Linked DNA regions of Arabidopsis thaliana. The protein of the gene in region 2 interacts with the protein of the main gene of each other region in a pairwise test. Each region holds a gene or a part of one and is shown on either strand. Other genes may lie near its edges.

Region 1 (6,945 bases), on a different chromosome or scaffold from region 2:
GAAAGTAATAAAAATTACATTAAAATATATATTTTTTCTTCTAAAAATTGGTATATAGTATGCTTTTGAAGATATATAAAAATTATTTTTGTTACTTTGTTAAGTGAAGATATATATCGTATGTTTATTTCTTTGCATTTTTACAACATGTAATAATTTTTGTGGGATTTAGATAATCAAAATCTTTTTTGTTTGGTTCATAGATTAATCACCTATTAAATTTTCAAACGTGTTTTACTTTTAACAATAAATAAGCATGCTTGGAAAAAAGAAACTCTTTTAGTCATGACTCATGACCCAGTATGTGTGTATCTTATCTTCAAAAACCTTGTTGAAAGCTTTTGCAACAACCAAGTTTAACTAAAACTAAAAGTCAATAAAACAAAGAATTGATATAAAATGTCAACATTGAAGCTTATCATATATATAGTAGCCTCTATTCTATCTTTCGGTTATTTAAACTATTAGTTATAATAATTTTTGCTGTTCCTTTTATTCATTTGGTAATCAGTAATCATAGTTAGAAATTCTATATTGATCTCGTAAAAAATATGTGAAAATATTGGTCTAATATTATGCTTTTAGTTTGGAAAAAAACTGAGGAGCATAATAATAATTGATGTAGGGATAAGCCAAGAGAAGTCACAACACACATGCTGAGAGATAATGATGTAAGAAGCCACAAACTGGGAAACGGCATCATAGTTGTATAATTATGGAGATAGATAAACAAATGTTGGGTGGTTGGTCATTAATAACTATAGACAACCTTTGGCTCAAAATAAACATTCTTTCGAGGATTCAATTTTCGTGTTTTTTCTCAGCAAATGATTCAAATCTCATGATGACTCTGATTTAATTTGACAATTGAAGGTCAATGACACCCACTTCCACTGTTGAATAATATATTAAAGATGACAAATTTTTATGGGAAAGTAAAGAATACTTAATAGTTAACACTTTAGTTTTTGTAATGATCTTATGATGGCATGCCACCAAAATGCTTAATCTATGTTTTCGAATACAGTAGATGCAAATAACTTATTTGAAATAAGTTTCGATTATAGACGTTTATAGGAATAAGAAGTGAGTGGCAAAAAAAAAGAAAAAAAATTTGATTAGTGGGATAGATATCAATGAAATTAAAAATGAAAAGAGTTTAGGGATGAAGAAGGAGTCCCTTAATTATTATGATTGAGAAGAATGCAAAATTTGTTAATGTGAATAAAAAATAGGTAATATGATAACTTAGAGCATAATACGTAATTGTTGTTCTATAATATTGTTGTTAGTTGAATTCGTAATGATTCGAGTATTAGGAGCAAACGAATCTGTGCAAATCAACAAACAATCAAAACCATCTTGAGCCACCATGTTATGTTAGTGTTCTCTCTAATACATATTTTTAAAAATGTTCAAAGTGCTCAAAAGTTACTCGTAAAAAAACTCCAAAAAATGTCCCGACGTTTTTTTTCATTTAACAAAAGGTTCAAAAAATGTTTTTGCCCCTAAGGCTCAAATATATGTTGGGCCGGAGCTGTAAACACACCTTGTGTTTGTGGATTAAGGATGAACATGACTCAAACTAAGTTACTAAAGAATAAATTTGACATACAATTAAGTGGAGCTGATTACGCTTTGACTGAACATTGTTGATTGATTTAGGTGGGCAAAAGTTTTATTAGTTGGTAATAAACTTGAGCATCATTCTCAATATAGTCATGATGTAGTTACCGTTAATTATATTCAACACAATTCGTTTTTCTTGCTTTGACCACAATAGGAGACTACACAACAATATCTATTAGCTATATTCCCTACATTCAAATTTTATTTGAACGTTTAACCAAGTACACTCTAGCTGAGATGTTTGACACAAGGATTAAACCTAAAGATTTTTACAAAAAAATAACACTAGCTGATAAGTACACCATAATCTACATTAACCCTAAGAATTTCTAATCCATTGATCGAATGAAAGGTTTTAGTTCTTAGCATTCATATGAATTGTCTCATATGCTAAACACTAGACTCACATGACTTTGATATACAAAATCTTCTACACTGCAAATGAACAATGTTGTTGTTGATGTTTATCTATAATACAAACAAAATTAAGTTCAACGCAATTTCCTCATTTCAAAGATGTAGCAACAGAGCATCTCTTACTCACTTCTGCAACAGTACTTATGTACTTTTTCCCTTTTTGGACTTTTATGCTCAATTCATCTTTCTACATTTGACTATTCCTTTCAAAATATTAACCAACCAAAATAAAAAGAAAGAAACGTTTTTACTTTTTACTTGTAAATCCATTCCAATATGTTCGTCACATAAACAGAGGATTTATACACCAGAATTGTTGGACCTCAAAAACTAAAATAAATAAAAACATTTTTGCTTCAATTTGGTTTCTTTTGCTCTTCTTTCTAGGAAAAAAAAGAAAACAAACAGAAATTTCCAAAAAGACACCAACAAAAGAAGACAAAGGCAAGAAATCAGAAACGGTTTCATTTTCACTTAACATCGTTGGTTTGCATTGAGATCTCAAGACCAGGCCATATCAAACTGTCTCCTCCACTTTTACCTTCAATCTCCCCAATCTGCCACGTGTCACCACCACAACCATCAACCACCGGAATCTCTCCTACGGAAGAATCTCCAAGATACCCAATACTCATCTCCTCAAGCCCGTACCCGTACCCAAACCCGTAATCCAACCCACCATTTCCACTTCCTAAACCTAACAGAGAAGCAAAGCTTCCATGACCTGAAATTAAATTAGTAACCTTAGTTTGACTCGCTTCAGTCGTGGCTGGTTCTTGTGTCGTGGTGGTGATGACGGAAGAAGAGGAGGAAGAGGAGGTGGCAGTGGTGGAGAAAGAACGGTGACGTTTTGAGGAGCTTCGACGAGTTCCACCACCGACGGGGACGTCACGGAGTGTACCACCTTGAGTCCAGTAACGGCGGCAAGATTTGCAGTAGTAGCGAGGCTGAGCGAGGTTATAGTTGTTGTAGTAACAGAACTTGGTGGTGGTGGAGTTGCAGCGAGGACAAGGAAGAGGCTCAGCCAGATTTGGCGGTGGGTAAGCCGCCGTTGAGGGCTGAACTCTGGTGGGTCGGGTTTGGTTTGGTTCCGACGGCATATTAAGTTGAGAGTATGAGAAAACGAGAGAGAAGTTAATGGAGAGAAGAGAGAAGAGAGAAAGCGAAAGAGAAGGGGATGTTGTGAGAGTGGTGATGTGGTTTTTATATAGAGGCTTTTAGACGTTTTTTTCAGTTGCCTTTTATTTATTAATTGATACATATGAATTTAATTTATTTTCCCCTTCTAAAAATAATTTAATTCATATTTAGTTTTTTTTAAAAATAATTTCTTCTATATTAAATTTAACTAAAAAATGGTTAAAATATGAGAGTGGATTTAAAAATAGTATTTACTTCGTTAAAATGAATTATTAGCGGAATAGAGATGAGAGAAAAGTTTGTTGAAGATATTATGAAGCCTTTTCTCATTAATTGTAAAATGATTCTGTACAAATGTCTTATATACTTTACACTATACAATGGTTCTACTAAACCAACTAATACCAACTAAACCAATATACATATCTGATATGCCCCCTCAAGATGTGCATGAAAAGATATTAAGAATGCTCATCTTGGATTTAAGGTGTTCGAATTGATGGGGAAATAACGGATTAGTAAGAATGTCCGCTACTTGGTCTTCAGTTCGCACATGAAGCAACTTCAGCTCGCCATTGTCTAGTTTCTCCCTAACCGTGTGACAATCTAGCTCTATATGCTTCGTTCTTTCATGGAACACAGGATTTGTGGCGATGTAAATAGCAGTTGTGCTATCAGAATATAACACAGGAACCAAGTAGCTAGCTTTTAAAGACATGAGCAAAGTGTGAAGCCATACCAGTTCACACGTAACCAGTGCTAAGGCACGGTACTCAGCCTCTGCAGAAGATCTGGAAACCACATGCTGTTTCTTGGAACGCCAAGATATCAATGAATCACCCACAAACATGCTGAATCCAGTTGTTGATCTCCTACTATCTGGACAGGAAGCCCAATCTGAATCTGCAAAACCTTTAAGAGTAAGATCTGCAGATGCAGAATAGAACAGACCTTGGCCAACACTGCCTTTGATATATTGTAAAACTCGATAAGCAGCTTGAAGATGAGACGTCCTAGGAGCAGAGGAAAACTGACATAACTTGTTAACTGCAAAGGTGATGTCAAGTCTAGTAATTGTCAAATACATCAGCTTTCCTACAATACGACGGTATTGTTCTCTATCATCCAACAAATCACCATCAGTCTTCATCATCTTCACATTCGGGATCATGGGAACTGAAACAGGTTTACAGTTAACCATACCAGTAGATGCTAATAACTCAAGAGCATACTTTCTCTGGCAGATAGAAATACCAGCTTCAGTTCTAGCAATCTCAAGACCCAAAAAATATTTCAAATCCCCAAGATCTCTTAACTTGAATCGCTGTTGTAAATCCTGAGTCAATTGTATTGCAGCACCTTCACTTGTACTCGCAATAGCAATATCATCAACATAAACCAAAACAATCACAAATTCTCCATCATACTCTTTAATAAACAAAGTATGATCACCATGTGTCTTCTTAAAACCCAAATCAAGTAATGAAGCAGAAAACTTCTTAAACCACTGACGAGAGGCCTGTTTCAAACCATAAATGGATCTCTTCAATCGACAGACTGAATTAGGAGGTAGAGTGATACCTTTCCTTGCCGCATAACCTTCAGGTAACTTCATGTAAATCTCTTCCTCTAACTCACCATTCAAGAAAGCATTAGACACATCAAGCTGTTTTAAGAACCATTTCTTAGAGGCAGAAATCTTCAATAACAACTTGATTGTAGTCATCTTTGCCACTGGAGAGAAAGTATCTGTATAGTCTAGACCTTCTTTCTGAGTGTAACCCTTAGCAACCAATCTAGCCTTATACCGCTCAAGACTGCCATCTGCCAAAAACTTCAAACTGAATACCCATTTACACCCTACTGCCTTCTTCCCTGCAGGTAAAGTAGTAATCTCCCAAGTGTGTGTAGTTTCCATAGCACCAATCTCTGCATCAACAGCCTCACATCATTCTTTGGTGTCCTGTGCCTCAGCAAATGTGGTGGGAATAGGAATTTTTGTGATATTATTGATATAACACATGTGAGATGGAGAAATTTTAGAGTAAGAGATAGTAGAGGAAATAGGATATTTGTGATTAGATTGCGTGATGTTGCAATGATAATCTGACAGATGAGCAGGAGGTTTCCTAACTCTCTGTGAAGAAATTTGTGGTGGTAGATCAGAAATTTGTGATGGAAGAGAAGAGATAGGAGATTGTGTAATACCTGAGGACACAGGAACCATTGGAGTAAACAACTTCAAAGAACTCTCTGACTTTGGATCCACAGCCAATGGAAATACCTCCTCATGAAAAACAACATTCCTTGAGATAAACACAGTGTGACTCTCCAAATCCATTAACTTGTACCCCTTGTAACCAGCAGGATATCCCAAAAACACACACGCTTTAGATCTCGGCTGAAACTTATGTCTTTTTTTGGCGAAGTAGAACTGTAACACAAACAACCAAAGGTTCGAAACTGCTCATAAACAGGAACTGTACCAGTGAGAATCTCATATGGAGTCTTGTTTGATAAGAGCTGGGAAGGTGTCCTGTTGATAAGAAACACAGCCGTTAACACACAATCACCCCAAAGAGAGAGTGGTACCTGAGATTGGAACATGAGAGCCCGAGAAACATTGAGTATGTGTTGATGTTTACGCTCAACCACTAAATTCTGCTCCGGTGTTTCAGGACAGGAATGAAACGAAACAATCCCTTTCTGCTGATATAAACTTGTGAATTTCAATTCTGGTGCATTATCTGATCTCACTGCCTTTACTCTCACTTTATACTGATTCTCAACTTGTTCAATGAAAGCAGGAAACACAGTAAGAACTTCTGACTTGTTTCTAAGCAAATAAATCCATGTAGCTCTGGAATGATCATCCACAATTGTCAAAAAATATTTATAGCCATCCACTGTCTCAACTGAAAAAGGACCCCAAATGTCAATGTGTAACAAATCAAAGATTTCATTACAAACTTTATTCTGAGAAGGGAAGGGTAACTTTCTCTGTTTAGCTAAATGACAAACATGACAATAATCTGAGCCTTTATTCTTAGGCTTAGTAGTCCCCAAAGAGTCTGAAATAACATCCAATCTCTGTAGAGAAGCATGACCAAGTCTTCGATGCCACATACTGATATCAACCACTGCATTCACTGAGACAATAGGATCTTCAATATCCAGCACATATAGATTCGCAATTCTCCTACCTTGACCAAGCATCCGAGCCTTGATAGGATCCTGAATTTCACAAGAAGTCTTATCAAATATTACTCGTGAACCAATGTCATCAGTCAGAGAACTTATACTGATTAGATTCAGGCGAAACTCAGGAATGAATAAGATATTCTTGAGAAGAATGTCATCATTAAGTCGCAATGTACCAACACCACTGATTCTTACAGTAGGACCAGCTGGTAAATTCACTGCACTCACAACAGAAGTATCCAAATTCAAGAAAAGACTCTTATCATGAGATACATGATGTATTGCTCCTGAATCTATCACCTGAGACTTGTCACCACCTTTGCCTTTAGGAGTAAAACCAAGAGGGAATCCATGCTTTTTATAGCATCTTTCTGCAATATGTCCAACCCTATTACAGAAAGAACAAATCGGTCTGCCCTTGTTTGGACCACTCTGAACATAGCATATTCACATCATTGTTAGTAGCCATCATTGCCTCAGAGACCTGAAAAGCAGCCGGTGGAGCAACCACATTGGAAAAACCTTGTTGACTGTTGTCTTGATCCAGAATGTGATACA
Region 2 (8,192 bases):
GATTTTTGTCGAGTGTTTCTGACCAAAAGAAAAAAATATTGTTGTCGACTGAAAAATCAAAATCAAAATTAATTCTCTTTGAGATGTCATGTGGTATGATCCCAACGTTACTTAGGTTGAAGCAGATACACTGTCCATATCAGGCCTCGTTGTCATTCATTCCAATATTTACAATATATTCATACCCCTTTTATAATATTAAAACTAGAGAAAATGGATATCCAAATTTTATTGTTTTATCCATGATTTTAATTTGTTCTGCCTCAATTAACACATTTACAATTCATCTTCAATCCAAAGTTAATAGGAATATACGCTATTCATGTATTTCCCCTAAATTTTGACATATTTATTTACATTGTGCACTACCAATTTGCAAATTTCATTCCCATATACTATCCGCGATGAATCAAAATGTATGTCACACATATTAGTTGTATTTATTATTGTCAGCAAAAAAAAACATACTAGTTGTTAGTTAACTGTTAATGAATCAAAATGAATATCATATTATTTTGCCCTGCACATATCTATATAGAAAACTATATATAATTACATATAAGTATATAATTATCCACTATATATTTATTTTCAGAGTTCAAAATTTCAAGATTTGAAACTTCGGCTTATAATTGGGCTCACAGATTCAGATTTTTCTCATTTTCTCAGAGGATAATTATGAGTGGGTGGCTTTTGCAGATAGAAATATTTAAAGCTCCAAATAAATATTTGCATGGGATAGAATTTTGTCGTCACCTTTGACGTAAGCTTTGTCTCGCTACCATTATGAATCCAATGGACCATTTTACTTTATTCGTTTTAACAAAATGCCTAATTATCATCAATGTTATTTTTTGTTCTTATGTGCCATGCCTTTTATATAAAACTATCTTGTACATAATCCAGGACTAAAAGGGGATAGTTCCAAAATATTTGAAGGAAAATAAAAACGAATATTTTCTTACAGAACAGTATTTGAAAAAAAAATAGTACATGAAACAATGAAACATCACTATTTACGTATAGTAGTATTTTTAATAATCTTTATTATTAACAATGTACTATTTTGAAACTGATAGTAAATATGTATATTCTAAACAGTGCCTTCTATTGTTTATATGAACATTGTTTACGTTACTTCGTAAAAACATTGTTCACAAATCACAATTAATTATTAAATTTTTTGAAACAACATTCCATAAATTTTTCATGTCATAGCTGATTTTTTTAAAAATGTTTAGTTTCATTAGTATTCTATAAAATGAAGAAAAAAAATGCAAACTGTAGTATAAAATATAACAAGTCCCCAACGAGGCATTCATTAGTCATTCATTTGTATTGTTCTATATCCGAATTTGTAATCGTATCATTGTACTTCTTTGATGTTTCGTCGTTGAAAAAAAAAAATGAAGGAGAAAAGAATTTCTTGTTCCCTTTCTTTCTCAATAACGTTTTATTACTGGATGAAATTTGGCATTTAGTAGCACTTTTACCAACAGGGCCACCCGTGAAACTAAATTCTCACTCTGAGAAACTTCGACATCTATCTTTAACCATTGATTTCACATCAATTTAATACACTAACATACAAATTTAATCTACAACATAATATGAACAATTTTTATTTTTTTGTTTGTCTCTCTACGTAAGAGAGTTTTCTTGCTGTTAAAATTCTAAGTATAATGGTTAATCAGAACTAAACTTGACAAAAAAGAATTGGTAAACCTTATCAAACCGTAGACTTGTAAAAAATAAGCTAAAAGACACACTTTTTAGTGAAGAAAATTTAAGTTGATCATGAAAATGTGGAAGAAATTTTATTTACATTTTTGTTCCTTTTTTTATCATCGATATTGTGGAATGGCTTAAACAAAATGACAACTCTACAAATAAATCGATTCATTCCACCATTACCATTTCAAAAAAAAATGGCAAAAAAAATTGAAATAAGTAAAATCTAGATATCAATTATCTATTGATTTCAATTCTCATTATACGATACATAAATTTATCAACAAAAGAAAATTCAATCTTTTTCCCCAACATGCTAAATGTTTTAGGGCTTGCAAATGACCACAAAGCAAGGAAGCAAAGCTTTAGGATTAAGCAAATAAAGCTCCTCCACATTTGTATACAAACCAACTTTGCCAGCCAAAGAATCAAACCCACTCATCAACCCATTCATCTCCTCCACATTCTCCACCGGCCGATGAACTCTTCCGGCGATAACCCTACACACAATCAACACTTTCCTCACCGTCCGATCAACATCTCCACTCTCATCTCCACCGTTAACCAAAATCGACTCGAACGCTCTTCCACTAGTAGACGCCGTGAAAACACCAACCCCATTATTCTTCTCCCGTTTCGACGAGAACCCGTTTCGTATAATCCGACAGACACAACATTTCTCCGCCGTGCAAACACTTGTTGACCCGTTTATACCTAAACCACAAGCCACGGTGGTTCCGTGGAACCTAAGTAGCTCGTTACCGTCTGCGAGACATCTTGGATGCTTCTTCTGAAGTTTGCTTGCTCTGATTTTAACTGTTTCTCTGTATTCCTCGAATCTAGCTAATGTCTTCTGCATGTTGTGTACTTTTAAAACTCTATCGATTCTTCCACATTGGTTCTCTGACTTTAACCAGCTTGTTCTGCAGATTATCTCCACTATTTTTCTTGATGAATCTCCTTCTACAAGCTCCGTTACTGCAATTTAGATGAAAGTTATATAAATTTGAGAAACTTTGAATCAAACTGCATAATCAAAATCGGAAATTTAGAGTAAATGTTGTTAAAGTTTAACATTTTAGCTTTGAATTGTTAATTGCAAAACTCTGTTTTTTTCAAGACTCTGTTTTTTTCTTTATAAAAGTTGCGATTTTTATAACCTAACTTTTGTTACTATGAAGCCTAAATTGCATAATTTGTTAAATTTACTTACCGGCATGTTTAGAGAGATGATGAGCTTCAGCAGCTTCAAGCTTATTGAACTGTTCACCACATTTATGACAAGAAACAGAGGAATTGTTGCCTCCATTAATGGTGGATTCTCTGTTCATCTCCAATGAAACCCTTCTGTTTGTATGAAACCCTAACCCTTCTCCTCCTCCTCCTCCTCCTCGATCTCTCTCCGACAAAGCAAACGAACCCTTTCTTGTTTGGCTCCTGTAAGAAGCTGAATGGTTAAGATAATGCATCGGTGTTCCTGGTCTAAGCATCCCTACATAAGTCGTAGACCGACCATTTCCTCCACCGCCACCTCCGCCGGAATCCGCTGCTCCGACAGGTGAAGCCATGTCTCCGACACCAGTGATCTTAAGCTCACAAGTTGAGTTACTAAGAATAACTTCATGAGTTATAGGATTTAGAAACTCATTGCTTCCAATAGAACGAGGACTACTTATTGGTGGTTTCTCGAAATGTCTTTTGCTTCCATGGATTACGTCTTTGAGATTTGCTATTGATCTTGAACATCCTGATAAACCACCACCGCATACGGCGGCTCCGCCGGATGATATGCCGGAGATTTTCTTGGTGGAGATTGTGGAGAGGTGTTGTTGCTGTTTAGTGGTGGATATTGGGTCGTGGACATCAGATGGTTCGGATTTACAGTGGAGGGATTTCTTGAGTGAGAACCAAACAGTTGGGATGTTGTTCTTGCTTTTGTTCTTCTTCTTCTTTTGGCTTTTTTTGCTTGAATCTTCCATTGTTGTTGTCGATATCTCTCTCTTTCTTTCTCTCTATCTTCTTCTTCTGAATATTTTTGGAAGTGATGCTATAATAAATATAAATTAAATATTGTCGCCGGATGATAGGTAATAATAAGTGGATTTTGTCTTATGAGATATATTAAAAAACCAAGTTTCTTTTCTTTCTAGAAGGCATGTACGAGCAAATGAATCTGAAGGAGGTCTACGATGTCTCAACTCACCGATGTAATAAGTAATAACACGAGAGAATGTTTCTTTCACTTACTGTTTTGCCATTCTTAAAAGTGTAAAAACTGAAAAGACTTCACAACATGTTCATAAATCATGAAATAGTAATTTATAGACTAGTCCATATTTACGAATTATCACATTAACTGAATATTGGAATCTTTTTAGTGGTAAACTTGATTTAATGCACGGTAATAAGAAAAGAAAAAACAAGCTAAATTTCATGAACTTGCATTCATTAACAAAATTAACATTAGCCATAAATCGTGATTAATTCAATGATTTTGGTTTTTAAAAGATCTTTTTTTCCTATAGTTACCGTGTAGAGAATCTTGAATTCATGTCATACTTCTAAACTTTTGGAATTTCCTTTAACTTTCTCTTACAGAATTTAATTACAGTTAATACGATCATAAATCAATGAGACTGTGCGTGAGCAGGTTCACCGGTCTAATAAGTACTTTTACTCGCAAGAAGAAACAAATATTTTATTTCTAAATTTACCTTTGAGATTATATGGTGAAAGAGTTGATTATTCTTCTATGATGTCTGAAACCTAGTCAGGCTAAAACTACATATGTATTCACTCACTATTCATAAATACGTTAATCCAAGCAATAATGATGACAAATTGTTGGTCAGTGACAACTAAATGAGAATTACTAATGAATTAATAGCATGGCTATAGGAAATAAAATTGAATAAAAGAACATTGATTTCATTTCTTTCTGCTTGCATCTGTCAATTCACTCTTAAATGCCCCATAAGAGCATATGAAACATTCTGACATTTCTTGGAAAGACAGTAATCAATATACATTTTAACAAGCCATTAAAATTTATACTAAACTTCTTATTATTACACCATGCATGTAACTTTATCACTCTAGTTTGATAAATAACAATAGTTGACATAATATGTTTATACGAGCGGACGGTGAAATATAAGATTTATTTGTATAAACGAAAGTAAAACCGCAACGATAGTACATCAATATTTTTGCATTATCTCTGTTCCTAATAAAGTAACACTGTAGTATTTACATCATATCGACTTCAAAACATGAAGGAATGGATGACAATAACAGTTCGTTAATGATCAAAACACAATAACTCTAATCTGAATTGTGAGTTTGTCAAACTTTGAAAGTGCATTTATTACGAATTGTAGATATCGCAAAGGGTAGATAATGGAAGTAGGTGTGGGTGTCGTTATAGCCATATTGAATTCAAAAGGAAAGACATTAAATTAGAAATTGAATTTTGAAACATGTTGATAGATCATGTCCTTCTTCTGGGTTACCCAGTTTTGCCCTAAAACCTAAAACCAACAGGACCATCATTTCGACCACACCACATTGACTGGTCTGCCCCAATCTAGCTATGATATATCTTAATTTCCGTATGACTTGGATCCATAAATATTGAAATAGATTTGGTGAACACAATTTACTCTTAAAACTTCTTCTCTTTCATGCATGTTCTTTTTCTCACTTTAACATTTTTATATAGTGACATTTTTAGTAATCCAACGTTATTTATATGATTAGTAATTCATCAAATTTATATAGTGATAAAATTCCACAATGGTTGTTCAATAAAAATATGAACAACACAATAGAATTAGTAAAAGTGACTATGTTAAATCATTTTCTTCGCTGGGGTTTGGTGGGCGAGTTCTAAACCCATAAGCGGCCCATTTACTTCGTAAACTCAATTCGATTTGTTCAGCGTTCCAAGCCCATAATATTATTTTCAAGGGCATAAAATAAATTGAGGTTTATATGGAAAATTTGGAAATTCCCTCGTCCAGAAGAAACCAACAAAAACTGCAAAAGTTCAAGCGGTGGGAGAAAAAACTTCAGATCGTAGCCATTCATTAAATTATAATCAACGGTTTAAACCTCTTCGATCCGCGTACTCTATTCTTATTGGTCAAATAACTTAATCCTCCAACATATATAAACAACAATCAGATTTCTCTCTGTTAATTTCGTCAAGAAAAAAATTCGATTTTTTTGCGCTCTTTGTGGGTTGTTGTTGTTGAAAATGGCTGGTCGTGGAAAAACTCTTGGATCCGGTGGGGCGAAGAAAGCTACATCTCGGAGTAGCAAAGCCGGTCTTCAATTCCCGGTGGGTCGTATCGCTCGTTTCTTAAAAGCCGGTAAATACGCCGAACGTGTTGGTGCCGGTGCTCCGGTTTATCTCGCCGCCGTTCTCGAATATTTGGCCGCCGAGGTAAAATTACATCGTCTTTTCTCTCTTTCCCATTCCGTTTCCGATCTTATTCGTCTGACTCTGTTTTTGCGTGATCGATTACGAATCTAGGGTTCTTACATTTTCCGAATTTGACATGCAAAAATTGAATTAGATTCGTGTTTGAATTGAATTGTTGTAGTTCTGTAATTGACCTAATTTTGGGTTTGTTCTGATTGGTTGATGGTAATCGAGATCATATGAATCGTTGTAGTTTTCTCGCAAGATTCTAAATTTTTTTCAATTATGGTAACCAATTTGATTTGAGTTGTTAAAGTTCTCAAATTTGGAAAGTTTGATCATGAATTGTGTGTTTTGAATTTGTTCAGGTTCTTGAATTAGCTGGAAACGCAGCAAGAGACAACAAGAAGACACGTATTGTTCCTCGTCACATTCAGCTTGCGGTCAGAAACGATGAGGAGCTAAGCAAGCTTCTTGGAGATGTGACGATTGCTAATGGAGGAGTGATGCCTAACATCCACAATCTCCTTCTCCCTAAGAAGGCTGGTGCTTCAAAGCCTCAGGAAGATTAGGTCTTTTAACACAATGATATAGAACACGTCTCTCTTTTGGCTTTAGATCTAATAACCTAATAACTAGCTAGATGTTTTCACTTTTTGTATCTTTGCTTTTTTTAATTCCTTTAGGGATTTGTTTCTTTCCGTTTCTGTTTCGACATGTTGTTTCTGTTTTTGTGAATATATGAAAGTATTTTGCGAAATATGAATGATAATGTCTTTCAAAAATGCTGATGCCTTATTCAACAAGCAAACACTGCACTTTGTAGAAGTATAAAGATTTTCTTTGTTGTTGATAGTAATAGTACAAGAAAGAAAAAAACACAAAGGATTATTATTCTATGGCCAACAAGATTGAAAAAATATGAAAAGAAAGTATTTCTAAGACTAAATGTGAAAAAAATTGGTACAAGTGAGTGACAGTGTCTATGCCTCTTTAAATTACATCTGAAAAACTCATAATCAGTGACTAAAACCTGACATGTCTTGAGGGTTAATGCCATTACACTCACAGCAGGAAAAGATAAGCTCTCAGCAAAACAGCAGATGAATTATGTCCTAACAGGTAACGAAACCAAAGATTTGTACTTTTTAGTCTGAATCTGAACTAGACTGATCCACGCGTCTCTCTGTAATAGCTGGAAACAGCTTCTGCCTAGGATCTAATGAAGGCGTTTGTCTTGGAGTTTCAGAAGATGCTGAGGCTGTTGAGCCTTGTTTTCTGGCCATCCTTACGGGTCTTCCTCGTGCTTCTCTGACTTCTTTGCAGGATTTATCTAAGATTATCAGAAAATCGCGCACAATCACAAACAAACGCAACCCTTCGTCTTTTCCTGCTTTGCCATGGAAATAGTCCCCTGTACTTTTCACCAAAGCCATTATTCTCTTCTCTTCCTCGAGTATGGACATGATGCTTCCTTCAGCATTTTGAATAAAATCTTCAAGCGCTTCACGAAACCCACTCTCCTCGCCTGAACTTTTCATCTCTGAGTTGACAAAGTCTCGAGCTTTCGACAAAGCATGACCCATTTTAAGAACAGTCCCTGTTAAACCATCGGCATCTATGTTTGCAGATTTCTTTACATGTTCAAGCTCACTGCTCAAGCCTGAAACTTTCTCAAGTCCAAGATTACGGTAATTCTCTTCTGACTCTTCAGAGGTTTCCTCGACTAGGAGATCCTCTGTTTTAACACTTGAGAAACTTTGGCTCTCTCTGATAGTACGAGCCGCTCTTACACCTTCAGTCCTAATTATCTCTTGAACAACAAAGTGGAGGAGCGTTGTTTTCCCATCTGTTCCCTTGACGTCTGCTAATTTCAAAAGAGTGTCCAGCTTGAAAGCTTGAGCACCACCCCTAAATGTACCATCATTCATTCGGTTTCCGGTCTTAAGAACTGCCTCTAAGAGCTTCAGGAACAGCCGACTTCCCCTAAGTTCTTTACAAGCAACCTTTCATATACACCAAAGAATATACGTTT
Region 3 (8,221 bases), on a different chromosome or scaffold from region 2:
ATTACAAAAATATTAACACTTAATTATTTTGGTTAATATTTTAATTTATATTAATATTGTAGACAAAAATATTTTTTTTTAAAAAATAGATAAAACACTCACTTCAGCATATATTTTATATTTATTTATAGGTGCATCCAAGATTATATGGGGATACTTTAACGCGACTTACGATATATTGGACTGTAAGTGAATTAATTATGTTTTTTTTTTTGTCGAATAATTGTGTTTTTTCATACATGAACAAAACAATAAAAAAAAACATTATTAGAAAAAATAAAGTCTTTATACCTAACCTTTACAAAATAAAGAGAATTTATAAAAGTACCATTTTTCTACTATTTTTTTGTAACAATATATTTTTTTGTTGGTCATTTTTAAAAATACTATTTTTTGAACAAAATGACCAAATTACCTCTCATCTAATGAGAATATGTAATTAGAAACAGAAATTCCAAAAAACAATTTCTCGCCAAAAAAAAATTCCATAACAAAAAATAATTTCCACAAAAAAATGCATTTGAAAATTCTTGTAAAATTTTCAAGAATATTTTAAAAACCCTTGTAAATCTTTCAGAAACTCTTAATTTTTTTTTTGTAAAGTTGTTAAGAATCTTGTAAATCATTTTAAAACCTCTTATAAAGTCTTTAAATACATATGTAAATACTTTAAAATCATTTTTTATTATTTTGAAACCATTATAAAAGGTTTTAAAATGATTTACAATAGTTTTTAAAGGGTTTTAAAACCCTTGTAAATGTTTTAAAAACTCTTGTAAATCCTTGAAAACTCTTGTAAACCCTTTAAAAATCTTTGTAAACTCTTTAATAATCTTTGAACCATTTTAAAACTCTTGTGAACCTTTACAAAATATTTTAAAAAGATTTACATGAGTTTTAAGTTTTTATAAGGTTTTAAAACTCTTGTACATGTTTTAAATTTTTTTGAAAAACCCTTGTAAATCCTTAAAATCCTTCTAAACCCTTTAAAAATCTTGTAAAAACCCTTGTAAATCTATTTCCCGCCATTTCTTTTTTTGCGGGAAAAATATTTTCGAAAAAAATAATTATCGGAAAATCTATCTTCTGAATATTTTAGGCAGAAAAATTAATATTTTATTTTGTTAACCTAAAACATTTTCAAAATAGGGGTAAAATGGTCACTAAAAATTAAAAGAGAGTATAAATAAAAATGACCAACATGAAATAGCATAGTTAAAAAGGGATAGTCTTGAAAGGGCATTTTTACCAATTTCTCTAAAATAAATCATATCTTTATATGTTTATAAAAAAAAAACATTTGATACCATTTTGTCTCTTTGTATCTCGTATCTCAAAATATTTTGCCTCTTTTGAATTTTTAGGCAGATGGGTATAAGAAAACTGGGTGTTATAATACAAATTGTCCTGGCTTTGTTATTATAAGTCGAGTTCCGCAAATTGGAATCGCTTTTAATGAATCCTCTATTTATGGTGGTAAAGGATCAGTTGTTATCAGACCACAAGTTTTCCAGGTAAATCTTCTTCACATTTTATACGACAAATAATTCGACAACAATGATAAGAATTTTAGTTATTAATTATTTTAATAACATGCCACAAATCCAAATTCTTTGTTAGGCTTTTGAAATAATCACATTCATCCGCATTATAATTTTCCATTTTGCAATATAGTGCATCAAAATTTCTTTTTAAAATAACATATATGCGTATAAAATTTAAATATTTTTGCAGTCATTTTCTAGTGTTTTATGTTTTGTTAGGATGGTTTCAGTGGAAACTGGGTACTAAAAGACACTGTCATGAACGAAATAGTTGGTTATTGGCCCAAAAAACTATTTACACACTTAAACAAAGGAGCTTCTTTGGTGCGATTTGGAGGAAATACTTTTACATCTCCGGATGGAATTAGTCCTCCAATGGGAAATGGACATTTTCCGGTTATTAGCTATTTTAAAAGTTCACATTATGTTCATGTTAAAGTTAAGAATTCAAATTATCAACTAGTTGATATTGAAAGCAGGAAAGCAAGGATATATGCAGATTCTTACCAATGTTATAGACTATCATACTGGGGTTATTTCAAGTCAACTGGAGTAAGTTTCTCTTTTGGGGGACCAGGTGGAAAATGTGGTATTTGATGACAAATGAATTATATGTATCGGCCGAAACTATATTAAAATTTAAAAGATAAATAAAATTTAACTAAACTATTTTCATCTTGTGAACAAAAAGTATTATAAGATCTTAAAAAAAACGCTTAAAGATGTGGGAATGAGAAAGTAATGTCAAATAAATCTATACTATATAAATGTTGAAACTATTTGCTTCTAAAGGCGTCTACATAGGATTTAGAACGACCAATCCGCGTTAAACATGTCATTAATTAACATATTTAGTATCTAATTAGTTAACAATTTTGAAAATAGTAATTACTTTCTATTTTAAAATTTAAAATAGAAAAGGAAAATAACAAATATTAAATTTAAACTTATAAAAAAAAAGAAGCTATAGAATTATAATTATGTAATATTAAACCCAAACCTTATAAGATCTTATACAAGTAATCCAACATTTTAATATAATTTAAAGAAACGTAACAAGGACGTGGTTTGATGGTGGTGTTTTTAATCGTATCAATTTGAATCAAGTTCTCGAAGATATAAACTAAGGTCTTTCAGTCTGGGAAGCGTGAAGGTGAAGAGGATCTAAACTGCATCAAAAAGGAGAAGTGATAGAGTTAAGTATCAATTTAGAAGCTAAAACGTTTTCTTAGAATAACAGAAAACAAAACAGAGTACATCTTGACGAGATTGAAAAATGCTTATACTAACAAGAAAAGGAAGAGATTTTCGAAGAAGAAATATGGAGCATGTGAAAATTTAAGAAGGTATGGCACATATTGCTTAGACAAAATCATAAGAGGATGAAAGAGACACTGTAAGAAAAAATGAAACAAATAAAACGAGTTTTTGCAAAAAGATAGGGAGAGTCATAGCTCTCTGTAAAAAAAATTGTGAAAGAAATTCATATACATATTGAAAAGAATGTGAGAAAAATATGAGTTGTTAAAAGAAAGTGTAGATAAACTTACGAATATATTTCTACAAAATATCTTATTTTTAGAAGAGCTATACTAACTAATGCAGCGAAGATAAACGAAAAACAATAGTAAATTTGCGGGTACCAAAATGAGAATCGTCGAATCTATTTCCTATACAACAATTTATTTAATACGTAAAAAAAGACGTCGTTATCCTAAATATCTAAAGCTAAAGAGAGAGTCATTAACCAAAAAAATGTTCTTTTGCTAAATGTTGTAAAATCTAAGAGTTGTATAAAGGTTATTTCTAGTTATGTATTTAAATTGTTACTATTTGTCATGATAATTTTAAAATTCAAAGAGTTTATAATATTAACAACAAATAGATATATAAAATCATATTTTCAAAATTTTCAATAAAATATTTTAGTCACACAAAAAACTGTTAAATTTTTTACAAATAAATCCACGCATGAGTTCATAGCTAGTAAATAAATAAAGAAACAACAATGTTACCAAAAAAAAACTGGTTAACGTATTTTCTAGAATTAACATGTGATGTGTATTTTATTCATTAAGCATCTCCTTAGTATATAATTATATAAATATAAATTTACAAATAAAATAATACAAGATCTTTACTAATCTTTATGTGGAAAACAAAAAAAAAACATAAGTAAAACAAATTTATGTGGATAAGAAACGCCATACGCATTCACGTATTATCTTGCCATGTTAGATATGATTCTCAATGTTACAAGAAAACATTTATGGTAAAATAATAAAAGTTTAGATCGCAGACAATGGACCTAAATGATCCCATAATTCATAGGATAAGTTTTCATTCTTGTTTCGAGCATGTTTAATATTTCCACTAACTGTTTTGCCCTCTTGATCTCTACATTCTCATCAAAGTTAATTAGTTCATAATACCATAAACTATTAGTATCCTCGTTCTCTTCTGCATGAAGATAATATTTGAAACCGATATTACATTCGCTGCACTATATATGGATTTGTAGGTTAACTCTAACAAAATCCAAATTACTCTAAAATACTACACATACGGTCCTACAAATTACTAATTAAAACCAGTATACTACTAAGATTAAATGATATGCTATAAGAATTTGGCTCGCCAAAATATAAACTAGGAAGAAATAATGTGGGGATGATAAATTACTAAAGCCTCACTAAAACTCAAATATGTCATCATATCAATCAATATATGAGTGTTGAGATTTGCCGTAGATATTATCTTCCCCCACCAAATAATTGTACCTACACTACACCCCAAACAAGCATATAAGAACAAGTTAATTTAGGTTAAGCAAAGCTGACAAAAGATTAGAGGGAACCATCTCTAGTAAGCTTAGCAAGCAATGCATTGATAAGTGAATCCCTCTTCTCTGCTCTCATCTCCTCCCTCGACCGCCGTTGCTCCTCTCTATCCCGCCACATCCGCTCCATTGCCAACCTCTCCTTCTCAAGCTCCTCCATCTTCCTTCTCCATTCTTCTTCTTTCTCTGCTCTTTCCTTCTCCCTAGCCTCCCATCCTTCTCTCCACTCGCTCTCCATTCTCACTTGATGTCTCATAAACTCTTCCAACACTTCTCTTACACCATTATTGCTATTACTACTATTACTACCGCCTTTTCGCTTCTTTGCAATGTTCTTTTTCGGATTTAGAATTTTTGGGTCGTTGCTGACATCTACTAGCTCTTCATTCACATTCTCTTCTTCCTCATCTGAAGAATACTCTCTCTTTCTCGCTGCCCCGCTTGTTCCCCCTCCTCCTCCCTCGGATTCAGCCCATAGCATTCTCTGCATTCTAGTGGTAAATATATTTTGCATATCATCATAAAAAGGGAACTGTTGTCTCGCTGTCTCTGCCTCCATTGTCTCACATCCCTAGAAACATCAAGCAATACATCACCAATGAGATTGTATACATATAATTAAACTACTTAGCAGATTATGGACAACAAGATTCAGAAATATTTACAATGGTGTTTGTCTATATGTCCCGGAAAGATTATGGACTATAAGATTCAATATTTCTTGGTTACAAATTTTTATTTATTTATTTGTTCCATGCAAGACCTCCAAGATTATAAAACATCCACAAAATGAAAGAAGAGGGAGAGAGAGAATAGACCTTAAAACGAGTGACGAGGTTCTTCCACTTGCACTTGCACTGTTCAGGGCTACGAGGAAAGCTTTTGTCTCTCATCTTGTTAGAGATAACTTCCCAAAGAAGCTTGTTCCGTTTTGTCTCCATGAAAGTTTGATCTAGCTCTCCTCTTATCCCTATCAACTCTTTTGTCTCTTCGACGCTCCACTGTGGAAACCTATCCCCAACAGCTACCGGAGAGGCTATTTCCGGCGTTTGCGATTGAGTATGAAGATGATGCTTGTTGAGATATTGAAGCTGGTGAAGGTGATGATGCTGATGTCCATCCATATGAAAGAATCAAGAAGAAGAAACTATAAAAAAAAAATAAAGAAAAAAAATCACCAAACGATCTCTAAAGCAAAGATTTTGAAGAAGCTTTCACTTTTTCAGATCGAAAAACAAAATATTTCTTGTTTTTCTTTATCTTTTGGTTTTTGTGTATTTGTAATGTGAAAACGTTGGAAGAAAGAAGTCTAATTTTCTTTGATCGCAATTCTTTTCTTCTTCTCCACTCTCTCTTTCTCCTGTCGCCATCTGTCTACGCGTTTACTTTTTTCTCTGTCTTGGATTTTTTCTAATACAATTTACTTTTTTTTTGTGTGTCTTCTTTTGACAAAATATTAAAAAGAAAAAAGCTTTCGGCAGATTTGTCATTTCATTTCTAATAGTATATAATTAGTTAAAATATCGATTGAAATGGTATTATAGAGCAAAGGATAATTAGCGTCTTAAACTACCAGTCAATTCGTTAATAAAAGATATGTTGACTGGTGATCAGGAGAGATGTGGATATTTCTATCGTTATCTCATAATGTAATCACTTTCATTTGACAAATAGTATTCTAGATTCTGACAGTCGACATATTTGTCAAATATGTGTATGAAATGAGTTTATTACTGAGTTGGTTTGGTAAAATGGTAGGGATAATAAATTTAATTAAAATGATGATAATTTTTTATATTGCTTTAAATATAAAAAACAGTAAAATATTAAAGAGAAAGTCAAGTCTTTAAATAATATAATACAATTTTTCTTTTGTCAAAATAAATTAGAGTGAAAGTGTAAGAAAAACATAGGTGAGTGGTAAATATTTCCTATTGAGTTATAGAGCTCTTTATGTATTTTCTGTTTAATCTGCTTTTTCATTCATACTATAATGAGGAATCAAATTGATGTGACGATAACATTGCGTTGAGGTTTCATCATCACCGCGAGAAGTTTCGGTTTGTATACTTTTTGTAATAATACTGTGTGGTTATTAATTCTCGGCGACCAGTCATATCCTTAGCTTCATGCCCAAGTTTCTATTTACTACTTTGTCTTTGTTTATTTTTCCCTTTTTCAACAAAATTCGATATTTTTCTAATTTTGAGCACCTTTTTTAAATACAAAACTAGGTGACTTCTCTAGAATCTCTCGTTTCCTAAATTCCTTCACGTGTTATTCCTTGTATGGTTATCAAAATAACAAAAGTGTTGGAATGATTTCTTCATTCACGAAATGACAAATTATAGTGTGACACGTGCGTGGAACTAGCCAGCTAGGAACAACATTCTAGAGATGTGAAACTTGTTAGGCCAATTTTGAATTTTTTTAAAAGCATGAACATGACAAAAAAAAGCATGTGCCAAACTAATTCATTTTCAACTTAAGGTTTATTATGGGTTGGCAGCCCAAACCCATTCTACACAGTTTGGGCCCAATTTGTCTTCGAGTGATGTACAATTTGGCAATTGGACTCACATAAGAACAAATTTTGTGTAACCCCTACAATAGATGAAAACTGCAACTCTCTTCTAAAGTAAAGGACTAAAGTCAACCTAGTCCCTTAAATGAGGTTTGGAAAATTCTTTGTCTGCCTCGTTCACTTTTATTTTGCCTCGTTTTATGTATCTGTTGAAGGAACACCACTTGGTTGATTATGGTACGAAAAACATGTTATTTGGACTTTCACCAAATTTATGTCGATATAAAAAGATCAGTACAAATTTGTTATTGATTTTATTTTTAGAGGCTACATTTCCTATGGTTTGTGACCAGACTATAGCTAGCTACAATTTTTTTATTGTATTTTTATTGCGAAAAACTTAGTTGCATATATTATTCACTAAAACAGAGATTTTTTGTATAGTAAACAGTGAAGGTAAAATTGTTAGCAAACAAAAATTTTGTAGAGTCAAGAAAAGAATTTTTATATATATATATATATATATTTTTTAGAAACAACATATTTTTAATAATAAAAATAGGAAGCTTCAAATACAGCATTGAAAAGAGTTTAACGAAGAATTTTTGTTTTCGATTGTATTTAAATTTATATAATATATACAAACAAAAAAAAAAAAAAAAAAAAAATTGTCACGTGTGCGTTTGGTAGCTGTAAATGAATGCATCTTACACAGTAGCCCACATGTCGATTTTGGTTTTTCTTCATTTTTTCTTCACCACATAGCTGTTGTCTTCAAAACAATCAACGAGTTTTTTAGATTTGTTGATTTTGTTGTTTTGGATTATTGTTGATTTTGCCATTTTAGATTTTTCACTTTATCTATAAAAAAAAAAAAAACTATTTTCTGCCACTTAAAAGCTAAAATTTTGAGAAACTTTTTAAATAAAAATATGTATTTGAGAATTTTGTTTCATTATGTTTCCATTTTTTTTTTATAAAATACATAATAACAAATATTATACCCTAAAAAAATAGAACCAAGTAAACCTAAATGTGTAAATTGTAACTTTAGATATAATTTTTTCGGCAAATCTATGAATGCCACTAAAAATCCTTATCTGGTAATTGATTCATTTATTTATTTATTTATCACACTATATCACATCATTTACGTTCACAATATTCAACATATTAGGCGGACAATTTCTTTTGTCAACATCACGGATCTAGTATTTCCTTTTGACATATCTCGATCTAGAAGATGAAAGAAATAGATATATAGGATGAAATGAATTTAATACCATCTAAAAGAACGTTCCTATTATATATGCT
Region 4 (7,807 bases), on a different chromosome or scaffold from region 2:
GTTCTCCCACTGAAACGATGTTAAATATTATAAACCGATAGATATTTTGTATACACAGATTTGACGTGTCATGTGTACTAAGTGACCAGTGAAACATTTCCTGTGAGAATACTCCTTAGCTATACAGTGATTACGAACGGGTTATGGTGTCTCTATGATATCCTTAAGATTGTTATCTCTTCTTACTTAGTCTGAGTCGCTATTAGATACCTCTTCTACTGGCAGCTCAAATGCATCAATCTCTGCAAAGTAAGCTTTCTGCTTCTCGATATAATCCTGACAAGCTGCACTAACCGGATCCTCTTTCTCTTGCTTTACCGTCCGCTGTCTCTGTAATGTAACCACAAATGCAGAATTAGATTTGGAGCAAACTTATATGTTACCAATAGTCATAAGGCTCTATAACTGAACAATGGGAGTTCCAAATTGCATATCTCATTAAACAGTAATCCCACTGTATCTCGTGACAATATTCTAAATCCAACTTTTGAAAAAAAGAAGAATATACATGAAACTGAAGGACTAGGCAATTCACTTCAAACTATGTGTAGCACTGGTTTCAGACATGTGGCAGAAGAACGTTGTGAACAATCAATGTTGAAACATACAATGCACTGATATACACTTTGCTAGAGCCATAAAACCAATAGATCAAAGTATTGACTACTTTTTCGCAGAAAGATGATAACAACATAGAATTATTACAGTTCTGATAAGTAAACAGCCAGAGCTTTCCTGAATTCACCTTTTTTGGAGCCACTTTCAAGGTCTTCTTTTTGTTTTCACTAGCTTGACGTGTTTTCTTCCTGTGATACAAATTTCAAAGAAAATTAACTAACAACAACATGGTTGATTATAAACAGCCCACAAAATGCTAAACAAATTTGATGAAAGTTAACTGTAACACTAACAAAAGTTATCTCATCTACTATTTCTTACTGACAAGATTCTTTCAAAAGAACAGGCATCAATAAATTAGTCAGCATGAACTACATTCTATCCTGATTCCATATGTACATTAGCTACTATTAGCCATGCCAAATCAATTTTCCCATAGCAAATATATGATCGAATGGGTTTCATACCCAGAGCTTGATGACAAGTCGAGACGAATGCGAGCTGCTGCACTAGTAGAGGAAGATGCGTCTTTACTTCTTTTTTGTCCAGAGGCCTTCCTTCTTACCGTGTAAACAGACCAAGGCTCAGTAAAATCCTTGTCACTAACACCTAAGCATAAGACAATTATTTAACATCAGTATAAGATAGACACAGAAACCAATTTTGCAAAAATACCAATTGAAAATCAACAGAGACTGAGAACTAGCTTGATAGCAATTTTCAATCCACTCAATATTGGTGCCGTTTTGGAAATTTGAAGTGACCCAATTAGTGCTCTTCCACTATAACAGAAAACATGATAAATTCAAGCATCAATCTAAACCTTCTTCCAATAATTCCTAAAAATACCCAAAACCCGAAAACTAAAACCCTAGAGTTGCGAACAATTTCAATTCAGATGAAATTCCTTAAAATTTGATACAGTATAACAAAACTGGAACAAAATCATCGCAGCTAAATCAATTACCCATATCAGATCGCGATGTTTGGGGACGAGAAGGAGCTGAGGCCGGAGAAGCCAGATCAGCAGACATACGGCGAGTTACGGGTCTAACGTCCGTGGTAATAGGCCGAGAAGCGATTTCGGGAGCAGTCGCCGAAGTATTAACATCTTTGGGTTTCTCCTTGAGCGTAGTTTGTTCTACTAATCTCTTTAGTGAAGAAGTGAGACTCGGATTCGCGAATTTTACAGAAGAAGATGACTGTTGAGAAGATCTGGAGACGGTGTTAGTACAATCCGCGAGCGGTTTCCTCTGTATTCTTCCTCCGACGGAGCGAGGAGCTTCCATTTGTTTACCCGGCGTCGGAATCTTGGGATGATTCATCTGAGGTTTTGTGGGAGAAGATTTCTACTCTCTGTTGGCGGGAATGTGAAAAGCACGAAAAGAAGAAGAGTTCTGAAGAAGGCTCGAGAGAGCTTGAGACGATAATAATTGAGGATTTAAGAGAAGCCCAAATTGGGAAAGTATCGTTGGGCCCATATTTTTTATTTTATCAACTGGGCCCATGATTTTGTTTTGACAGCACTGGGCCCATATCATAATCTATTCTACTACCTTTTTAGAACTTGATGAGGTGTAGGGGATCAACAAAATTATTGCTTTTCTTTTTGTAAGGATAATATTAAATATATTGTATAGAGGGGAACTGTTTTTTAGAAGTGGGAGCAAAGTATTAGAGCATTATGTATCAAAGACTTGCGAGTTGTTGACCAATTAATAAAGGAATTGCAACTTTAGGTGATTGTGATGTGAGGCTGAAATCTTTGTAACCACCAAGTAGACAAAGTATGATTCAGCATTGTATGATATATACGTAATTTCAATAACGATTGGAATATAAAGATTCTTGCATTTCGAGTTATGTGATGAGATCTTTAGAGTTGTGTTGAAACACGTAAATTGCGATCGTCATTACACGAGTTCCTCGAATAGGTTCGGTGAGAGGGACAGAGAATGAGTGCCATATTTCAAAACTACACGCATTATTGATAGATATATGCTGATGTGTTTCTTTGATGGACGTCGCATAGGAAAGCCACAATGGAAATATTGATAATGTTAACTACAAAAAAAAGTTTGGGAATCCATATAAGAAACCATATTATACTTGAGTCTCTCATTCCTATGCTCACTCGAGTAGGATTCCAAAAAACGGTACACATCGATTTTTAGCCACTTTTTAAACAACAAAATATCAAAGAATATATTGGTCTCATGACCGATTCTGAAAATTCAGCTACTTACTGTTTAGAATTATAAAATTCAATATGAATAGTGATAGATAAGATATTCGCAATTTTGAATGATAACAATGTAAAACCGCAAATTGTGAAACTTTTGTCCATCATTCAAAAAATTTAGTTTTTGGCAAAACAATCCGTGAAAAGGACAACATTATTTATGTATCAATACACCCCACTACCTAGTCACCTAAAGATAAAATGAGTTAGTTCGGCTTACCATTCAAACTCCACATGTATAATATGATATTTTTATAGATTGACATATAATATTTGTGTTTTATTGTTCATGATATTCTTTAGAAAGCTTGAAAATAAAATATTAGGATAAAAATAGTTTTCTCTAAGTTCATAGTCAAATACTACTATCTAATAAAAGTAAACTTTGATTGACCCCATATATATAAAAATTAGGTAATTGGTACTGCAACAAAACATGTGTAGTACAAGGAGACCTCATAGAATTCTTTGTACTTGTACTTTCTGTTAGTGGATTTTAAAGTTGGTAAGCTTTTTTCCACATCAGGTATAACTAACCTTCCTAAACCTTTATACTTTATTATTGGAAATATGGTAAATGCACTAATTCATAATGTTCTCGTTTCCTTTACGCTAACTTCTCCGAATCTTTGCTTTTGCGTTACTATAAATATTCAGAAGACACCATTTCTTCTCATTCAACAAACAAGCATCTCATTCTCTGATTCGGTCCATCGATCTCAAAGGCTCAAAGCTTAATCGTTTCCTTTCTTCTTATTCTAGCCATGGCTCAGGTAATTTTGTGACTTTGATATTCTTCTTCTTTTTTTCTCCATTTCTTGGCCATGAAACGATGGAATAATGTTTTTGAGAGACATTGATCTGGAAGCAGGAATGTCTTTTTGTGTCCATCTCCAAAAAAGATGCTAGCAATTGTCTATATATATCGGTTATGAGAGTCCGATTAATCAGTTTTTATGATAATAAATATTTTGGAATGAATTAATATCAAATTTCAAGAGGGAAGAAAAGAGATTGATTGGTCTAGGTCTAGGTTCTATCTGTAAGTACTATAATGTCCGATTAGCACCACTTTGAAATATTCATCAAAAAAGGTAAATATTATTAAGCTAGAGCACAAAAGATAACAGTTAATAATTGTGATAAAATTAGCTGTTGATATATTTGGACCGAATTGGTCCTATGTATATGGATATGGTTCTTACATTTTCGGATTAAATTGTCTAATTAATGCAGACCGTTGTCCTCAAAGTTGGTATGTCATGCCAAGGCTGCGTTGGTGCCGTCAATAGAGTTTTAGGCAAAATGGAAGGTATTTCTCTCTAATCTTTTTTTCATGTCTTTCAAATACTTTCTACTAATCATTGTTTCCCTTTATTTTAAGCCTTATAATTTATTGACTCTATAATTTATTATATAATCTCAGGGGTTGAGTCATTTGACATTGATATCAAGGAGCAAAAGGTGACAGTGAAAGGTAATGTTGAGCCTGAAGCAGTTTTCCAAACAGTTTCAAAGACCGGAAAGAAGACTTCTTACTGGCCAGTGGAGGCTGAAGCTGAGCCAAAAGCCGAGGCTGATCCTAAGGTCGAAACCGTGACTGAGACTAAAACCGAGGCTGAGACTAAGACTGAGGCTAAGGTTGATGCAAAAGCTGATGTTGAACCAAAAGCCGCAGAAGCCGAGACTAAGCCATCACAAGTTTAAGTATACTAACGATGAAAAGGAAGGCTAATCTACCTTTACAATGCTTCTTTATCTTTTGCTTTTGTGTGTTGTTGTAAGAAATGCTTCCTCTAAATACCTAATATCTTTATGTATGTATACCTTTTTCAACTATTGATAACAAGATGTTGGACCCATGTTGGTCCGACTTTCTTTTATAAGAAGTTTTAAGTGTTTTACTAGTTAATTAAATACTGCGAGAGTCTTAACTTTGACTTATTATAAAACTCAATCCATTCAGACATCTGTCTGAAAATAGGCAAAAACAGAATGAACCATTTTCAAGAGAAAATTGTAAGATGAGCCGGCCTGAAGAACTTGGAAGCCCCAAGCAAAAGTTTTTCTGGTCTATTTACATATTTTTGTAAGAAGTTGGACATTAGGATGGGATTTGAAGTTTGAACTCCCCTTGGTATTTATATAAGCCCAAAACCAAATAGACTAATAACTTATTTTGTTATATATGTGGCCCTAATAGTACATAATATTCATGTGGATTCAAATTTGAGTTATCATCTTACCTGAATTACTATATGGGTGTGATTAGTATACACTAATCTAGCTAATCCATTCAGAAAACAATTCGTGCTAAGATTTGGATTGCACATTCTTACAAAATTAATGAGTTATTAATTAATATTTTTCCCAAAAATTAAGTCAATTAATGTTGAAGCTATAGGAGCGACGTGCTTACACTACACATATTTGCTGTTGAAAGGTTGGAAAGTCCTTTTCTTCTTTACCAACTTTTTACGTCTTTTAGCTTTTGAAGCTATCTATCGTATCTCAAATCTCTGTATTCTTATCTACTCTCTAAATCATTCTTCATGAGTTAACTTTACTAAATTATGTACGGTTAGCATCGATCATATACATGCGAAGCATATACATATATCCAGTCAAGCATATAATAAACAAATTAATAAATATATTGGATTTGTTTCATTAAATTAATTAAGTATATAACATCCCATGAAGGTTCCAAGTTCCAACTATACAACTGCCCCTAAAAGATTCCTTCATGTCTTAATCATTTCATCTACGTTGTTTTATTTGTTAAATTATGCTCAACAACTCTTTACGGAAACAATCATGTACCGAGTTGATTATTAACGAAAAATATATTTAAAAATGTTTCAAGAACGTAGCCATCTCTAACCAATTCTTGAACCATACTTTACCAACTTGCGTTCGAAGCAAGAAACTGCTCCTCCATCATCTTCCTCTATTGATCTTCTTCATATTCTCAAGTTTACTCCAAAAATTGCGAGGTAGAGAAGAGGAAACTACAAACCAAGAACATTAAATGGATTGCTCAATCTGCACCACAATGCCATCTATATTAAGACCACCAAGAAACACAATATGTGGATCATGCTACGAAGGGGCTAGAACAACAATTGCGCTGCTCAAGAAACTTGAGGGCTCGAAAGAAGATCGTCATGACAAATCGAACCATAATTCCACCATCAATAATGGCTCCTCTATTTCTTCGTCTCCTTTGTTTTCTTGTGAGGTAAGCTTCTTATGTGTATTTGCACTAAGTAGTCTTTAATTTATAAAACATTTCAATTATTTTTTAGAAATCAAAACACATTAATTTATTGGCTTAATGATTTTTAACTATATATTTGTGCGAGAATTTCAGCCGCAACCATTAGAGAAGGTGATCAAATGGATGAAAAACATGAAAGAAACCGAAGAAGAACAGAAGAAAAGAATAGTCTTCTTAAGCAGCTTTGTGTCGGGTTTCAAAGAACAGCTTCATGCTGATATTCTTCTAAAACCGGGCGATGATGGCCCTCCAATTCCTGCACATAGAGCTTTGCTGGTAATTCAATGATCGCTAGCTACTCTCTTTTAAAATTTAATTTTATGGCATGGTTAGTTTTATAATAGGATGTTGACATTTTAAAAATACAATAATTTATAGGGTTTAAATAAAAATTCAATGGCGTTTGATGTTTATGTAAACAATTTCAAAAGTACAAATTAAATAGAAAAAAAAATAAAGTAAAATATTTTAACATGACGCAACCATTAAATTTTGTTTTCTAAAAACGAGTTGGGTGCTTATATATATGTAGGCTTCAAAATCTGAGATCTTTAAGAACATTCTAGACTCAGATGGATGCAAAACCGCTCCAGAATACGCCATAACGCTCCAAGAACTAAATTCCGAGCAACTTCAAGCTCTCTTGGAGTTTCTATACACCGGTACATTGGCTTCAGATAAGTTGGAGAAAAATGTCTACGCGTTGTTTATTGCAGCAGATAAGTACATGATTCATTACTTGCAAGAGTTGTGCGAGCAATATATGTTAAGTTCCTTGGACATCTCTAGTGTTCTTAACGTTCTTGATGTCTCGGATCTTGGTTCGAGCAAGACGCTGAAGGAGGCTTGTGTAGGGTTCGTGGTGCGGAACATGGACGACGTCGTTTTCTCGGATAAGTACGAACCTTTCTCTCAGAAAAACCAACATCTATGTGTGGAGATCACAAGGGCGTTCTTGATGGAAACGAGAAGCAAGAGACGTGACTAATTAAATTAGTGAGATTATCAATGAATGTTTCTTCTATAGCTGTTACTTGATTGATCTTTAATCTTCCAAGCTAGACCTTTTCTTTGTTTGATAAAAGGAAAATATGTTTTACGCATGGCCCATATTCCGGCCCACTAACAGTAACATATATAAAGCCCATCAAACCAACGATTGGGACATATTAAGTATTAACCGTTCATAACCTAGCGAAGGGTTTAAGTGGCAAAAGATTATCGTTCCCTTGGGCGGTTTTAAAATCGAATCGACAGAAAAGGGAACAGAGTTGAAGAAGCGAAATGGATAGAGAGGATCTTCTTTGCTTTTGAGCTGGTCAAATTCACTAGAGAATAGGAATAGTGTCCTTTTGAATCTCCAATATGATCAAGCTATACACGTTTTCGCATATTAGTGATGAATTAACTAACTTGCTGCTAAAGAAATTAATTGACAGATTTGATAATCAGAGAGACATACAATTGATTTATTTTCCTTGATCATATGTCTATCTAAAGATCTCTTTTTAGGTAAAACAAATGTAAATTATATATATAGAAAATCTAATGAATACTTGATCATATATGTCTAGCCTTTTTGAATCATGCATGGCTATCACTCCAGGTCCTTATTGCTTCTGCCACTGCCTGTTTCACTGCTTCAGCATCTATGCAGTCTCCATCAT

The links.
Region 1: the proteins of AT5G54630 (region 2) and AT1G47655 interact in a two-hybrid assay, tested with the Arabidopsis thaliana proteins (one large-scale study listed by BioGRID).
Region 3: the proteins of AT5G54630 (region 2) and AT2G38250 interact in a two-hybrid assay, tested with the Arabidopsis thaliana proteins (one large-scale study listed by BioGRID).
Region 4: the proteins of AT5G54630 (region 2) and AT3G56230 interact in a two-hybrid assay, tested with the Arabidopsis thaliana proteins (one large-scale study listed by BioGRID).

Annotation. Positions count from the first base shown.
Region 1 is NC_003070.9:17,521,638-17,528,582, reverse strand, and holds AT1G47655 (Dof-type zinc finger DNA-binding family protein), read right to left. Parts: upstream 3,242-6,945; 5' UTR 3,147-3,241; coding exon 2,517-3,146; 3' UTR 2,275-2,516; downstream 1-2,274. UniProt on the Arabidopsis thaliana protein: Transcription factor that binds specifically to a 5'-AA[AG]G-3' consensus core sequence.
Region 2 is NC_003076.8:22,190,551-22,198,742, forward strand, and holds AT5G54630 (zinc finger protein-like protein), read right to left. Parts: upstream 4,010-8,192; 5' UTR 3,711-4,009; coding exon 2,945-3,710; intron 2,710-2,944; coding exon 2,057-2,709; 3' UTR 1,817-2,056; downstream 1-1,816. Other genes in the region: RAT5 (Histone superfamily protein), read left to right, coding at 5,990-6,178, 6,526-6,729; Fh5 (formin homology5), read right to left, coding at 7,306-8,163.
Region 3 is NC_003071.7:16,015,670-16,023,890, reverse strand, and holds AT2G38250 (Homeodomain-like superfamily protein), read right to left. Parts: upstream 5,682-8,221; 5' UTR 5,508-5,681; coding exon 5,202-5,507; intron 4,955-5,201; coding exon 4,391-4,954; 3' UTR 3,735-4,390; downstream 1-3,734. Other genes in the region: AT2G38255 (hypothetical protein (DUF239)), read left to right, coding at 132-185, 1,365-1,547.
Region 4 is NC_003074.8:20,860,220-20,868,026, reverse strand, and holds AT3G56230 (BTB/POZ domain-containing protein), read left to right. Parts: upstream 1-5,631; 5' UTR 5,632-5,891; coding exon 5,892-6,101; intron 6,102-6,233; coding exon 6,234-6,416; intron 6,417-6,672; coding exon 6,673-7,128; 3' UTR 7,129-7,307; downstream 7,308-7,807. Other genes in the region: AT3G56250 (uncharacterized protein), read right to left, coding at 211-330, 746-806, 1,086-1,227, 1,586-1,943; CCH (copper chaperone), read left to right, coding at 3,625-3,633, 4,097-4,172, 4,287-4,567; AT3G56220 (transcription regulator), read right to left, coding at 7,725-7,807. UniProt on the Arabidopsis thaliana protein: May act as a substrate-specific adapter of an E3 ubiquitin-protein ligase complex (CUL3-RBX1-BTB) which mediates the ubiquitination and subsequent proteasomal degradation of target proteins.